Linked DNA regions of Callithrix jacchus. The protein of the gene in region 1 purifies or fractionates together with the protein of each later gene. This does not show direct contact. Links are inferred from orthologs where the notes say so. Each region holds a gene or a part of one and is shown on either strand. Other genes may lie near its edges.

Region 1 (8,477 bases):
AAATGAACAACTGTAATCTCACTGTCCAAGAACTAGAACATTACCAAAACAGTCTTATTAAATGTTTCTTCCTATCCTATCTTGTGGTCATTTTTGGACACGTGAAATTTCAAGAATTAACCAATATCCTCAATTTTATGTGCATGTAAATAATACATTTAGTTGTGTTTGTTTCTGAACTTTATTAAAGGTAACATATTAAAGTTATTATTAAAGGGTATCTGACTATATGTAATCTTCTGGGATTTGTTCCCTCTTCCTCTCCTCAATACTATTACTAAGATTCATCTATTTGTTATATACAAAAGTATCCATTTTCAGAAGCCATATAACATTCCATCTGTACTATCATGATTTTTTAACTATTCTCCTGTTGATGGGCTGATTTTTAATTCTTTCAACCTTGCGTTACATGGCCATTTTTTTCTTTTTGAGACAGAGTCCCACTCTGTCTGTCAAACGGCTTGAAGTGCAGTGGTATAATAATCATGGTTCACGAAATCATCCACCTCCTAGGTTCAAGCTATCCTTCCACCTCAGCCTCCCAAGTAGCTGGGACACCAAGCATGTGCTACCACGCCCAGGTAATTTTTGTATTTTTTAGTAGAGATGGGTTTTGCCATGTTCACCAGGCTGGTCTTCAACTCCTGGGCTCAAATGATCTGCCTGCTTCAGCTTCCCAAATGCTGGGATTACAGGCATAAGCCATATTTGTCAATTAAATTCCTTTCTATATGATCACTCCCAATGCACCCATTAAAAAATAATAATAAACCTCTCTTTTAACCCTATTATCCAATTTCTCTGCTATTTATAGCAAAAGTCCCCACCAAATTGTCTAAGTTTGCTTCTTATCCCATTCTCCTGTGAACCCACTCTAATCAGGTTGACTGAAACTGCCTATCAAGGTGACCAACAACTTCTATGTGGTCATATCTAATAGCCTGTCTCAGTTTTCACTTTAATGTATCACAGTATTGATAGAGATGATCACTCTCTTCTAAAGATTCCCTATACTTGATTTCTAGGATACCATACTCCCATGGTTTTCCTCCAACATTCTTCTCAATTTCTGTTCCTGGCTCCTCCTCTCCCTCCCCATCTCTAAATGCCAGCCCCATCCTTGTACTGCTCTATCTACAATTACTCTTTAGGTTATTTCACCCAGATCCACAGCTTTTCATAATGATAACTCAAGAAAATTTTCAATTTTTTATTTCCTATCTTCTCCACTAAATTATAGGTTCAAAACGAGCAAAGAATATGTGTGCTTTGACACGTATGTTCATTGCGGCACTATTTACAATAGCAAAGATCTGGAACCAACCCAAATTCCCATCGATGATAGACTGGACAAGAAAAATGTGGCACATATACACCATGAAATACGATGAAGCCATAAAAAACGATGAGTTTGTGTCCTTTGTAGGGACAGGGATGAATTTGGAAACCATTCTCAGCAAACTGACACAAGAACAGAAAATCAACCACCACATGTTCTCACTCATAGGAGGGTGTTGAAACAATGAGAACACATGGACACAGGGAGGGGAGCATCACACACTGGGGTCTGTTGAGGGGGGTCCTAGGAGAGGGACAGCAGGAGGTAGGGAGTTTGGGAGGGATAACATGGGGAGAAATGCCAGTTATAGGTGACGGGGATGGAGGCAGCAAACCACACTGCCATGTATGTACCTATGCAACAATCCTGCATGTTCTGCATATGTACCCCAGAACCTTAAGTGCATAAAAAATATTAAAAAATAAAGTATCTAAATAAAAAAAAGAATATGTGTGTTTTGTTCAACGGTGAACCTAGGAAAATACCTGGCACATACAAGGTGTCCAGCAAATATTTAATGAGTGGAAGAATGTGAATAAAGCAGAAAACTAGCAATGTTGTGCTAATAAACAGATGCAAAGTGCCTTTTATATTCCTATGTAAGTATATAATTACAGATTTATAACAACAATACTTTTGTTGGTGAAATTAAACTAAAACTGCTAAGAAATTCTCCCTTTAAAAACGTCATCCTTAAAAGAATTTTAAGTCCAACTTTAAATGTCTTTATTTACTACATGGGAAATTGCCTTAAATACTTTTTCCTAAGAAAGAAAAGCAAAGTCATACAACTAAAGGGAAATAAGCAAACAAGAAAGTATTTTATTAGCATACTTACCATTTCTTTTGGACCAGGGGTGTAAGCATGAACTTTTCACAAGTGCTTCATCAACTTTTCCTCCTGACATGTTATCCATGAACTGACGCCCATGTTCTAATGCAAGGTAGCAGTCATTGCAACAGTCACGCTCTTCAACACGCACCCAATTGTTAATTACACCACTTTTAGGAAAAGGATCTTGGTCTGCTGCTCCAAAGGGTGAAAATAAATTAGTGCACTGATCTTGTAGCAATAACATCAAATCATCAGGCAATTTTTCAGATTCCTTTAGTCCTCCATTAACATGTTCAGCAGAGGTAGCCCTGAGAGCTTCAAAACGTTTTTCAGCTTCTTTGCCACAATCTGTATTGCGCCCTACGATATCTAGTTCATCTTCAAGAAATAATCCTGAATTGTTTCCAAATTTTCTGTTCATGACAGCACTGAAGCCGCAGGTACACCTATATTGTACTTCCTGCGTCGGATCTGGAATGTAAACTCCAACATCGGCACCCTTGATATTCATGTTGCAGACACAGATGCAACAACTATCAAAGTTACAGTCTTTAAACAAATTCATAACTGATTCTGAAAGGATGAGGTTTACATAAAGACTGTGTGCTTCAGGGATGGAAGGGACAGTTGCAGGTTCAACAGAATTAAGGGGTCTGCATGTAGATGGGGTGGAAGCTGGTGAATACAAGTCTGAATTTTCATATTTGACGGAACCTTGAGCACTGGCAGGTCCACCAGCTCCACGAGGAGTCCGAGGAGTCCTTGGAGTCCTTGGAGTTGGAAACCGAGGGGTGGATGGAGAAGGAAGAATTCCTGCTCCACTGTTACTAGGAGGTGCACTGCTAGGAGGCATTCCAAAAGAAGTATGAGTTTGAGGTGTATAAGCAGGGCCATATTCTTGATCCATATTACTTCCATCACTATCATCACCAGGGTAAAAGAAAATAAAATACATACATTAAGGAACATATTAGTAATGTGAAATACAACTAAAAATGTCCCAAATGTTTTTCAATTACATAGGAAATTATGAAAGGGCAAGTACTGCAAGAATTACAAGTAGAGTCAATTCTCATTTCTGGTTAACCTATCTACTCTAAGTAATTGTGTGGGCTAAGGATCAATCAAGTTCAAAAATCATTAATAAACTCTGTATACACTAATACATACCTAAACATCTATATTTACTATCTATAAATTTCATTTACTAGAAATACTTATAAGATGCTACTGACTATAAAAAAAAAAAGATTTTAGAGATGCTTATGTGTAAATAGGGAAAAACTGCAATTTTAAGGTGCACTATAAGACATCTCAAATTCAGTTGTTTTTTTTTTTTTTTTTTTTTTTGCCTCAAGTTGAAACTGACAAATTCAGATATGGTAAAATGTGAAAAGTATGGAAAATATGGCAAATGTAAAAATGGGAGTGATTTTAAATTGCAGCCCAAAAGAAAAGGTGCTTCTGAATACAAATTAAGCAGAACAGTCATAAATTTTCCAATAGTTTATCTATACCCAATTAACCACTGTAATTTTTTTTTTTGAGATGAAGTTTCACTCTTGTCGCCCAGGCTGGAGTGCACTGGTGCGATCTTGGCTCACTGCAACCTCCACCTCCCGGGTTCAAGTGATTCTTGTCCCTCAGCCTCCCAAGTAGCTGGAACTACAGGCGCACGCCACCAGGTTTGGGTAATTTTTCTATTTTTAGTAGCGACAGGGTTTCACATGTTGGCCAAGCTGGTCTCAAACTCCTGACCTCAAGGGATCCACACACCTTGGCCTCCCAAAGTGCTAGAAATACAGGAATGAGCCACTGTTCCTCGCCAATCATTATACTTGATTAATCAGAAATAATTTTTGGAATTTTCAAAAACCAATTTTCTTTTTCCAGCATGCCAGGTAAATCTACAAAAAAAATTAAAGCTATATAAGCATTCATATACTATTATAATAACATAAATCCTACCTCTCTTTGATGAATGGCATTGCAGGCCCTGAAGGAAGCAATTCCAATTTTCCAACAGTCCAACTCTGACGGTAAATACACTCTTCTGGCAATTTGATAGGGGGCAGATATTGGCTTGGTAGAGTTTTTAGAGGTGCAAACATGGAACATCCCACTAGAATTTGACAATTTTCAGGCTTATAGACGTAAGAAAAATCCTACAATATAAAGATGGTAGGTTTTTAGTATCTTATCTTCTGGGAAAAAAATAAACAAAAAACTCAAACAAGCTCTGGACCTTTTTTCCTTTCTATAAACAGCATAAAATATAAATGCAATCCTATTCTTTCCATAAATGCAATCGTAATTGTGACACAATAATTCAGTCCTCAGCCACAAAACTGCAAATACTATCAAAGAATTTTTGAATACAGCAACAAACTAATTCTAAGAAAATATAAGAAGTGAATTATTCTTCTAGGAAAAAAAATACTTACTTTAATTTCAGAAGGTTTGGGGCTACAGAATCCCTCATCAACCTCAATTTTGAACTGTGGTCCTATACTAGAACTATTTCCTTCTAGAACAGTTCCTCCAGGTGTTGTATCCATACTACCATATTCTTTATTATTCATATTCATTGGGGAAAATCCCATAATATGTTGTTCCAATGATGGTGGTGTAGGATACATTTTATGAAGATCTGCAGTGCCTATATTTTTAATAAAAACATACATTTTAATGCATGACTAAAAATAGGTGACTCTGTGTTTAAAACAAAGGGAGTGGGGAGCTTTTTTGAAATTAAAAGTTTGCAAATTTATCTCAAGCACAGATGTGGGACACTTACTTATGCAAGATAACGGGTCCAGATTTCCTGTCTTTGATTCCTTGCAGCTGGCTTTATCATCTGATCCATTCGCTGATTTTTTAGATCCAGGCTATTTAAAAAAAAAGCACATACTTAACTAAAATTTTACACCCAATGTGATCTCAAAATACTAATCATTCAGAAATAACTTAAAAGTAAAGCCAGTTCATTAAAAGTAATATTTTGAATTTGATACAGCCAAATACATACTAGTGTTGAAAGATACAAAGTATTTCTTAGACAATCATTGACTCCAGATTAGTTTCTCTGAATACTTATTTGGTAAGCCACCAAATTAAAAGGGAAAAGTTCCTCGAAAGAAAATGACCAATACTTTCAAAATACACACAAATAAGGTTAATCTTAAATTAAAACCCAAAATAAAGAGGCTGGACGTGGTAGCTCACGCCTAAAATCCCTGCACTTCGGGAGGCAGAGGCAGGCAGATCAGTTTGAGGCCAGGAGTTTGAGACCAGCCTGGCCAACATGGTGAAACCTCATCTGTACTAAAAATACAAAAAATCAGCTGGGCGTGTAGGGGCATGTCTATAATTCCAGCTACTCAGGAGGCTGAGGCGCAAGAATTGCTTGAGCCTGAAAGGCAGAGGTTGCAGTGAGCCAAGATTGCACCACTGCACTTCAGCATGGGCAACAGAGTGAGACTCTTGTCTCAAAATAAAATAAAATAAATAAAAATAAGAAAACCTGCAATAAGAAGGAGTTGTAATTAACATTAGAAATGCTTCTTAGTAAAAGATACTTGCAAAGCATTTGTCTCCTTAAGTTGAATACATTAAGGTTTGTGTTTTTCCTATATATTCAATCACCCACTTCTCTGAACTCTTATTTATACTTTTACCTTGTTTTAATAATCTCCTTACTCCTATAAAAATACTGTAACAGGTAAAACTAAGTACAAACTTCAGAAGATCTAATGACAAAGCAATAGTTTTCCTAACTTTTAGTACATTGAACAAACAAGCTTTACTATTTCCAAGCTATTACCAATGTTTTCAGAGCTAACATTTGTTCCATGTCTTCTGTTAGACAGTTTGTGATAAATATTACTATGCAGACCACATTCTGACTACAACCTTTTTATCTTAGAGGAACCACAGCTGATACATGAATGGTAGTAGATAGTATGAATGTGTCAAAACATTCAAGGATATATTTGCCTAGTGAAGGGTGTTCTAAAATGTACTACACTATGGGATATATAGTAAAAGTTTATGTATCTGATATATATATATGTATATGTATGTATATGTGTGTGTATATGTGTACATATACACATATACACACACATATACATACATATACATATATAGATATATATGCTGAGAGGAATAAATGCATATTATATAGGAAAAGAAAGACCAAATGTACCATAGAAGTTTCCAAGCTACCTTTATGCAGATGAAAAGGAATTCCCTTTTATGATAATGCAGCACCCAATTCATTAATTTGCCAGAGACTTGACATTCTAGGGAATCTCATTTTAAGCTTTAATTTCTTTTATCTTCACCTTTCTCTGCAAATGGGTGTTAAAGATCAAATATTACTTTTTCTTCCTCTTTCATTGCTATATCATGTATCTGTCTTATAATAATAGCTGTGATGTCAAACAAATTCAAAAGAACTGGTATTCCTTAATAAATTGACAAAGCAAATAACTTTAATGTCAATTATTTATGTGTTCTCTGAATGAGTAAATTCCAGGGTCATTTCTCAAACTACAGAATCAAATAGGAAAATAATTCTGCTTCCTAAAACTGCAAAATAGAACATACAGCAGAGCTCAAATTAAGGTTAATCATGTGTTTCCCAAATGTAAAAACAAAAGGAGAAACAAAAATCTCAAAGTTTATAGGTGACACTATGGCAAGACTACTCAAACATGAGATTAAAAAAGAAACCAATGAGACTTTACTATGAAATATTTCTCATTGTTCAGGGCTAAATCATAGTATTAAACTCATAAATCACTTCTAAAGAATAAAAAATATGTACATAAAATCAATATATTCCTATTTATTAATGAGATACTCACTGTTAGTTCATCTTCATCAGAATTGAAGAGATTATCAAGATCAGTATAAGAGACAGCCAGGTCTGAGTCATAAATCAAACTTGTTGATGGAGGACGGGCATGACTAGTAGGGCGTGGAGCATCTACAAAAGTCAATCAGAAAAATAAAACTGCTACTACTGATCAAATAAGTATTATTCTGTTTAAATTAGACATGTAACTTTAAGTTCATAGGGTACTATGCAACAAGAAACTGTAATTTATTATTTAAAATCTAGAAAGTGTTTTTAATAGAAAAAATGTTATAAAGGTATAAGGGGTTTATACCTTTTCCAGGAAGCTCACTAGAAGGTCAAGTAATCCATAAAATAGCTAAGTACTCTACATGAATAATTAATATATTAAATAAAAATATAAATTCTATTTAGGAAAAGTGAATTAAATACACACACATATTTGTAGTTTTTTTTGAGATGGTGTCTCACTCTGTTACCACCAGGCTGGAATGCAGTGGCACAATCACACCTCACCGCAGCCTTGACCTCTCGGGCTCAAGCAATCCTCCCATCTCAGACTCCCCAGTAGATGAGACTAGGCATGAGACACCATAACCAGTTAATTTTTTTTTCTCGAGTTGGGGTTCTGCCATGTTGCCCAAACGGGTCTTGAGCTCCTGGGCTCAAGCAATCTGCCTGCCTCTGCTTCCCAAAGTGCTGGGATTACAGGTGTGAGCCACCTCACCCAGCCTGTATTTTTCTCTTTCTGAAATGTAAAGGAAGAACAGAACAATGATTAAGAGGTAACTCTTGGGCCAGACTTTAATTTGAATCCCAGCTCCACTACTAACAGTATGACCCTCGACAACTTACTTAACCTCTCTGTGCCTCAATACCAAGAACTGAATTAAATGTAATAGAATATAGGTTAATATGCTTTGCCCATTGCTAGGTGCTTAAGTACTAGATAAATATTACCTCTTAGTTACTGTACTACAATTTTATTTTCCTTCCCTCCCGCCCCATTTTAGGGGAACAAATACATAATCCCAATTCCAATGAAAATTAAACTCCCAATATATTCCTGCACAAGAAAAACAATTTGATACATAACTGTCCAAATCATTCTGTCAACTGACTTGAGATAATCCTCGTTTTCAGAAAGAGAAAAGTCACTTTCCCAGTGCCTCTGTGTGTCAGTTCTAAAGATCCACTAGAGCTGCAGCTTTGAAATTTTAAGTAAAAATCCATCTAGGATACTTATTAAAAACCAAAATTTTGAAGCTCCATCTCAGGGATACTCCAGAATGTAGTATATGTTTCACATTTTGAGAAAGCTGTACCGCAGGCACAAGAAGTGGCTTACATGTTTCCTATATCCCAGGGAATACCCTAGGATAAGGAGGCCAAATAACCCAATTTGTTTCTGAGGTTTTTTTTTAATGTATGTATTA
Region 2 (7,247 bases), about 25 Mb from region 1:
GGCAGGCGCCGGAGGGAAGGGCGGGGAACCCTCTGCCAGGACAGCCCGCGAGCGCCAGTCGCGCGCCTCGCGCTTGGAGAGGCAAGCGCGCCCCGCGCGACCCCGAAGTCAGCCCAACTTGTCCCCTGGACAGCCACCCTCACCTTCTCCTTTTCTGCTCTCTGTGCCCCCTCTAGGAGACGTTTTCATCCTGGTGTTCAGCCTGGACAACCGCGACTCCTTCGAGGAGGTTCAGCGGCTCAGACAGCAGATCCTCGACACCAAGGCTTGCCTCAAGAACAAAACCAAGGAGAACGTGGACGTGCCCCTGGTCATCTGTGGCAACAAGGGTGACCGGGACTTCTACCGCGAGGTGGAGCAGCGCGAGATCGAGCAGCTGGTGGGCGACGACCCCCAGCGCTGCGCCTACTTCGAGATCTCAGCCAAGAAGAACAGCAGCCTGGACCAGATGTTCCGTGCACTCTTCGCCATGGCCAAGCTGCCAAGCGAGATGAGTCCGGACCTGCACCGCAAGGTCTCCGTGCAGTACTGCGACGTGCTGCACAAGAAGGCGCTGCGGAACAAGAGGCTGCTGCGGGCCGGCGGCGGCGACCCGGGCGACGCCTTCGGCATCGTGGCACCCTTCGCGCGCCGGCCAAGCGTGCACAGCGACCTCATGTACATCCGAGAAAAGGCCAGCGCCGGCAGCCAGGCGAAGGACAAGGAGCGCTGCGTCATCAGCTAGGAGCCCCACCGCGCCGGCAGCCACACGACATAAGGAGGACCTTTTTGTTTAAGTCAAATCCAACGGCCCGGCACGCCCCGTGCGCCCCGGGGCCGCGAGCGCGCGGACTGGACTAGCGTCTTCCCTCCCCGCGATCCGCCCCCAGCGCTGGGGAGGCGCCACTGAACCAAGAAGGGACAGTCATCTGCTCTGGAAGGAAAGAGAACTGGCCAAGACTGAGACTACTCCCACCCTCACCCCATCCCATCCCCACAACTTGGCGGGGTGGGGGGCAAGGGCCCTGCCGAGAGTGGCATTGTCTTCTCAAAGACCTAAGAGTGAGTGCGGGGTGGGGGTGATGTGAAGTTATCCAGCCTGTTAGGCTTCAAGAAACCGTCCTGCCCGGCTTGAGGGTCAGGACCCACGGGGCATTATCTTGTCTGTGATTCCGGGTTGCCATGACAGCCGGCAGAACCTGTGCCCTCCCAAAACTAAGGGGGGCTGGGTCAAATCATAGCCAAGTGACTTGTTTACATGTGAGTGAAACTGCACAAAGGAACACAAAACCAAACTTGCACTTTAACAGTAGTTCCGGTGTCAACACGGACACCAACAAAACCTCACCCTGGTATTTGTACTGCGTGTGTGCGAGTGAGGTCTTTATTACTGTTGGTTTTTAAATATACAATAAAATAATTTAAAATGGAAAACCGGTTTTTCTTTGCTTTTAGAGATGGCTGGAGGCGGGAAGGGTAGGGAGAGGGAAGGGGCTGGGCTTTGACTTGTGTGGAACTAGAACTTAACCTTCCTCGGAACTGGAAAATACCCTGCCCTTCTGAAAGCAGCTTTGGCGGCCAGAAAGGCCCTAGGTGCCTGGGGCATCTATGCAGGGGATGGTTCCCTACAAAACCAGGACGAAGGTAAAGGATTTCAGGGTCCCTCCTGGAGATGAACTCTTTCTAGCCACCTACCCGCTTAATTTTCTTTGTGTTTGATGACAAAAGGCCTCATTTTCTAAGAAAACGTTCTGAATTCTCCTTAGCCCAAGGGCCACTGGAACTGTGCCTAGCCATTTTGTCACCAGACTCAGTGTGGGCCCAGGCGAACTCTCAGACTGGGAGGTATCACTCAGGCCCTGAGGAAAGACCCTGAGACCCATCTGGAAGCAGGTCCATCCAGGTGCCCACTCCCACCCCCTCCCTCCAGGGTGCCACCCTGGCAGGAAACAGCTAACCCTTGGGCGTCTGCTCCCTTCTAGCTCCAGGCAGTGCTCAAGCCCAGGAGTGGAGCCCCATGCACCCCTCAGCCTTGCTATCTCCCTCTCATGCCTAAGGCACCCAGGAACACCTCTGTCACTAGTACTGCAAACCTGGGGCAGAGCACCCTCTGCATGGGCTTGCTGTGAGGATTAAGTGTGGTATCTGAAAAGTACTTAGCACAAATGCATGCCACCCAGTAATCCAAATAATTAGTGGCTTTGAGAGGGTGCTCAGCCCTGTGAGGAACACTCAACAATTGTCCTAGAAGGATTTCAACCCTGCTCAGGGAGGGCAGTTCTGGCAGGACTAAACCTCCAGTCACCAAAAGGCACTGGACCCCCACTCCCACCCTGCCACTCCATCAAAGGCAACCACGGATGCCCAGGGGCCCGTGCCAGGCAGGGGCAGGGATGACCTGCCAGGCAAACTCCCCTTGAGGCCAGCCGGGAGAGGAGTTCCTGTTCCACACTGGTTCAGCAGGTGAGTGGAGGGAGTTGAGGAACAGAGGGTTGGTTCTGTGTCTGAACAGAGTAAGAGAAACATTTTCCTCTAAATGATCTGAGAGCATCCCACTATGAATTTCTCAGTACAGAAAGCATGATGTCCAGAAACAGCAGAGTACAAGTCCTTTTAATTATGCGTTTGAATGTCACAAGTCAAAACAGGAACACAAGGTAGGCTCCAGCTCCCTCCACCCGCGTGAGGAGCCCTTGTTCATTTCAGCCTTGCATTCAGACCCCAAGGGTCTTAGATTTCCATGTGCTTCATGTTTCATGGTATCTGTCAGAGCCTTAAAAGTGGCCGACCCGCAACTGTGAAATTTCAAGGAAATAACTGATTCAGTTAAATAACAGTTCCAAGGTAGAACTGGTCTAACAGGTGACCACCCACTTGAATTCCGAGCCTACTTTTTTGTGCAAAGCCACTGAAATCTGGTCTCCTCCTTCACACATCCCCAGGTCCCCAATATACCACCCACATTCTGATAGGTAGCTGCAGTTGGACACTAATGGCAGCTCTGCTAAAAACATCTTCACCCAGTCCTCCTACCAATGAGGTCAGTTGGCGGGCATCTGCTAAGTCCCCGAAGTGGTCAGCGCAGGTTGTGTGCTCATTCCTAGACCCAAACAACACTCCAGGACTTGGCACCCCCTCTTGGAGAAGCAAGGGTGAGAACTACTCCTACCTCAATTTGACAGTCAAGGGAGAGCAAACAAAGAAAATGTCCCATCCGGAAGAAATCAGGGATGCTGGGGAAATGAGGGCTGCTATAAACCTTTAAGAGCTCAAACTTGGCTGTGTCACTGTCAGGCCTAGCTCATGGCTGAGGACCACCCGAACTGCCCCTCTCTGAACACAAGGTGCATCATGAACCCCTCTGCAGCATAGTACACATCGCTGCCACAAGTGAGAACAGAAGGGAAAGACCTTTTCACCACGGCAATGGGAATCTGAAATGACAGAAGACAGGTCTGTCCGCCTGAAGACCTCTTCCAGCCTGAGTGGAAAGGACGGCCCCTTGCCAGCCCTGGGCACTGACTGAAGGTGCCGAGCAAGGAAGAGAGCAAGCGCTGAAGGAGAGGAGAGTGCTAGGAAGCAGGGAAGCTGCAGCCAGGGGCTGCCTGGCAGGGGTGTGGGCCGACACCCCCACAGCTATAGTTCCTTCACCGCTCAAACAGAAAAGGAACCAAACTGGGAAAAAAGCCACCCTGTGGCCTTTCAAAACATTCTCTCACAGCTCTATGCCATATGAGCGCAGGCTTAATTTGTCCAGTGGATTCTATGCAAGTGTTTCAAGAAGCTGCTGCTAACAGGAACAATATGTACCTGGTACACACTGATCCTATGGGGGTGGGAGGAGGGGGAGGGAAGGAAGCAGAGAGGAACCGCCTCCCTTCTTACTGTGTTCTTCAGATCTGTCAGTGGGGCTGGATGCGAAGCAGATGGCCCCCTCCCCAGAGGCAAGGGAGAGTCCTCCACCCCCTCCGCAGCCTCCAGGAGCATTCTGACTTCCACCAGCAGGCACTCCAGTTATTATGCATCTAGACATATGGATCTACACAAGGAAGCCCCAGCACAGCCAAGCTCTCGGCGCTGGCTCCCGCACAGGAACCCCGCCCCTGCAGCTTGAAGTTCTGAGCTGGGTTCCACAGGAACTGTGCCCCAACAAGCGTTCGGCCGGGGGGGTAGTGGCTGTGGGGTGACAGGCCATTTGCTTCCCTCTTTCTCAGGTGCTCCTGGAAGTCGGCCTCGCTCTACTCCTTGGGGATTTCGAACATGCAGAGGCTCTTGTACTTTTGCAGAAGCTCGTTCTTGGTCCTGACTTGATCCCGGAGGCTGTGCAGCTGCTGCTGCTGCTGTTCAGGGCTCAGGTGGATGCCGGGCATGGTGCTGATGAGCTTGCGCATCTCCTGGAACTTGGTTTTGAGGGTGTTCAGGTCCTGGTGGACCTCGGGGCTGTCCTTGTCCATGCTGCGGGGGCAGAGTAAGAGCCATGAGCATTCGCAGCTTGATACTCATCGTGGCTTTCCTGCCCTGCACCCCCCAGAGCTGGCTGTCATTCCTGCAACAGCTTTTAGAACACTTTGTCAACTGTTACTCTGTGAGGTCAAGGACCATGTCTGCCTGGTCACAGATGTCTCCCTACCCCTGGCCCAGTGTACAGGGCACTGCAGGCACTCAAGAAATATCCATGGAAAGAATGAATGCTTGGCAAATAAGCTCACAGAACATGTATTCAATGAACAAACCAATACCAACAGCAGGTGACAAATGCCAAACACAACTTACTGAAATACGACATTTCGTCTAATTGGAGACATTTCCAGACCAGTCAGGAGGCTCTACCAGCTAGCAAGAGCTAACTTTAGTGGAGGTTTTGATACTGGCTTGAACTGGTTAACATAAAGACTAATATCCACAGAGCTGTTCATAAATTTTAAAGTTTAGTTAATTTAAATGTTTCAGCAGACATAGGCTCTCTTCTACTATGGTCATGTACACTCCTTACCCTTTGAGTCAAGTTCACTTTCAAAGCAGATCATTCGCTCCATCTCACAGCTACTATTAGCTGCACAGAGCTCCCACTCAGTGAAAAACGAGGCAAGAATAACCTCACCTGAGATGAAAGAAACAGCCTGAAAGTTGCTCCTATACTTTTTTTTTGTTTGTTTTTTTGAGACGGAGTTTCGCTCTTGTTACCCAGGCTGGAGTGCAATGGCACGATCTTGGCTCACTGCAACCTCCGCCTCCTGGGTTCAGGCAATTCTCCTGCCTCAGCCTCCTGAGTAGATGGAATTACAGGCGTGTGCCACCATGCCCAGCTAATTTTTTGTATTTTTAGTAGAGACGGGGTTCCACCATGTTGACCAGGATGGTCTCGATCTCTTGACCTTGTGATCCACCCACCTTGGCCTCCCAAAGTGTTGGGATTACAGGCGTGAGCCATCCTATACATTTTAAAAAAGTTAGTTAAGTGGACCGGGCGCAGTGGCTCATACCTGTAATCCCAGCACTTTGGGAGACCAAGGCAGGCAGATCACCTGAGGTCAGAAGATCAAGACTATCTGGGCCAACATGGTGAAACCCTGTCTCTACTAAAAATATAAAAATTAGCTGGGCACGGTGGCGCATGCCCCAGCTACTCGGGAGGCTGAGGTAGAATTGCTTGAACCAGGGCGTCAGAGGTTGCAGTGAGCCGAGACCACACCACCGCTGTACTCCAGCCTAGTGACAGAGTAAGACTTTGTCTCAAAAAAAAAGTTACGTGGTTGAGACCAAAACTAAAAGGCAACTCAGTAAGCTGTTCTAAAAGTAAGTCATTGAGGCGTAATAGGAAAAAACTGTCAATGATCATTAATTTTTTTAAATAAATGTTCATCTGTAGTGGAAAATTTCAATCCAGATGGTGCTAATTCATGTTAACTATTCATCATTTCTCCAGAATATCCATCTTTCTTGGCGATCCATCAGTTACGTCTCACACCTTGCAATAAGATGGCCACCATGGCCGGCTCAGTATTTACCAACAGCTCCAAACTCAGGGTGGGGGGTTTGGAGAATCAATCACTTCTTCCAGGAAATGAGAGGCCAGCCAAACATTTGTCATTTGATGCCCTCAACTGAGAGACGCCATTACAGTATACGTTATCTCAGATTCTAGGGAGGACGAACTGGTAGTCACACGACAAGTAAAAATTGTTTGGAAGGAAGCAAACAGGGAACTTCTTTTATTTCAATTCTTTGGAGTCTCTGCTCTGATCCACAAACGTGGACAGAAACCATCTGGATTTCTGAAATCATTCTACTTGGATGGCATGTGTGTTAACATACTGTTATGAGTTTAAATCCCAAGGGAGTTTCAAAATTAAAATATGGTTTTAAAAAAACCGATTCACATCACACGAGCCTGAAAGGACATGGTAAAACAAACAAAAAAGTACACAAAATAGAAATTTGGATGACAGATAATTCCATTCTTGAAGCAAACATAACCTGGCCCAAAAGAAAATTTAGTTCTGAAAGTTGAAAGTGAGTCATATTTAAGATGCTCATCTCTGAAAACCCCCAAGTTGCAGGGGCTGCCTGTTCTTTGGTGAAGTGTCGGAAAGGAGACAGTCTTCAGATAATAAAAAAGAGGCCATAAGACAAGACAAGCCACCTGGAGGGAGCGGAGCCAAAAGGGGCTGTGCGGGCCACAGGGAGGGCCCTCTGCAAGCCCAGCTGCCCTAGCTGGTGGAGGTAAGCAGCACAGAACTCCTGGTGTGAGGAAAACACGCTATTCAGAAGTGGGCATCAGCTAAGCCAGGATGACTGAAATATTCAAGCCAAAAGAAAAGGGACAGGCCCAAATACTGAGTGAATAAAAGCAGAAAGCTCTAAGTGGGCCTGCCTTTGTGTTCAAGGTTAGTCATCGGCCAACTATAGAAGGAATGAAAAAAGCCACTAGGTCGAGGAGGATGAACATCACACAAACAGGGCACTCTGGTCCCACCTACTATGGCTTTTTTAGAGTGGACAAAAATACTCTCACTAGGGGTGATCTTCCAAGCATCCTTCCCATGGATGACAGACATTTATATCTGTGTCACCGGACTCAGGGGCAAACATTGCAGGGTTTAGGCGAGTGTATCTGAGAATTACACCCCGATTTTCTTCGTTGTTCTTGTTTTTAGTATGGATGCTTTAGTACAGATGCAAACTGGCCAGTAACTGTGCTGGAACCACCGCCACAGACTTCCTCCCAAACCTGACAGCAACTTCTTTTGACTTCTTGGTGACATCTG

What was found.
Region 2: the proteins of MED13 (region 1) and MED9 purify together in Homo sapiens (affinity purification with mass spectrometry; 6 studies listed by BioGRID and IntAct, with this or other methods). This does not show direct contact. The link is inferred for Callithrix jacchus from reciprocal best matches to the Homo sapiens genes MED13 and MED9.

Annotation. Positions count from the first base shown.
Region 1 is NC_133506.1:94,818,700-94,827,176, reverse strand, and holds part of MED13 (mediator of RNA polymerase II transcription subunit 13), read right to left. Parts: intron 7,171-8,477; coding exon 7,049-7,170; intron 5,066-7,048; coding exon 4,975-5,065; intron 4,837-4,974; coding exon 4,622-4,836; intron 4,343-4,621; coding exon 4,146-4,342; intron 3,098-4,145; coding exon 2,181-3,097; intron 1-2,180. UniProt on the Homo sapiens protein: Component of the Mediator complex, a coactivator involved in the regulated transcription of nearly all RNA polymerase II-dependent genes.
Region 2 is NC_133506.1:69,654,700-69,661,946, forward strand, and holds the end of MED9 (mediator of RNA polymerase II transcription subunit 9), read right to left. Parts: intron 4,435-7,247; coding exon 4,218-4,434; 3' UTR 2,576-4,217; downstream 1-2,575. Other genes in the region: RASD1 (dexamethasone-induced Ras-related protein 1), read left to right, coding at 177-724.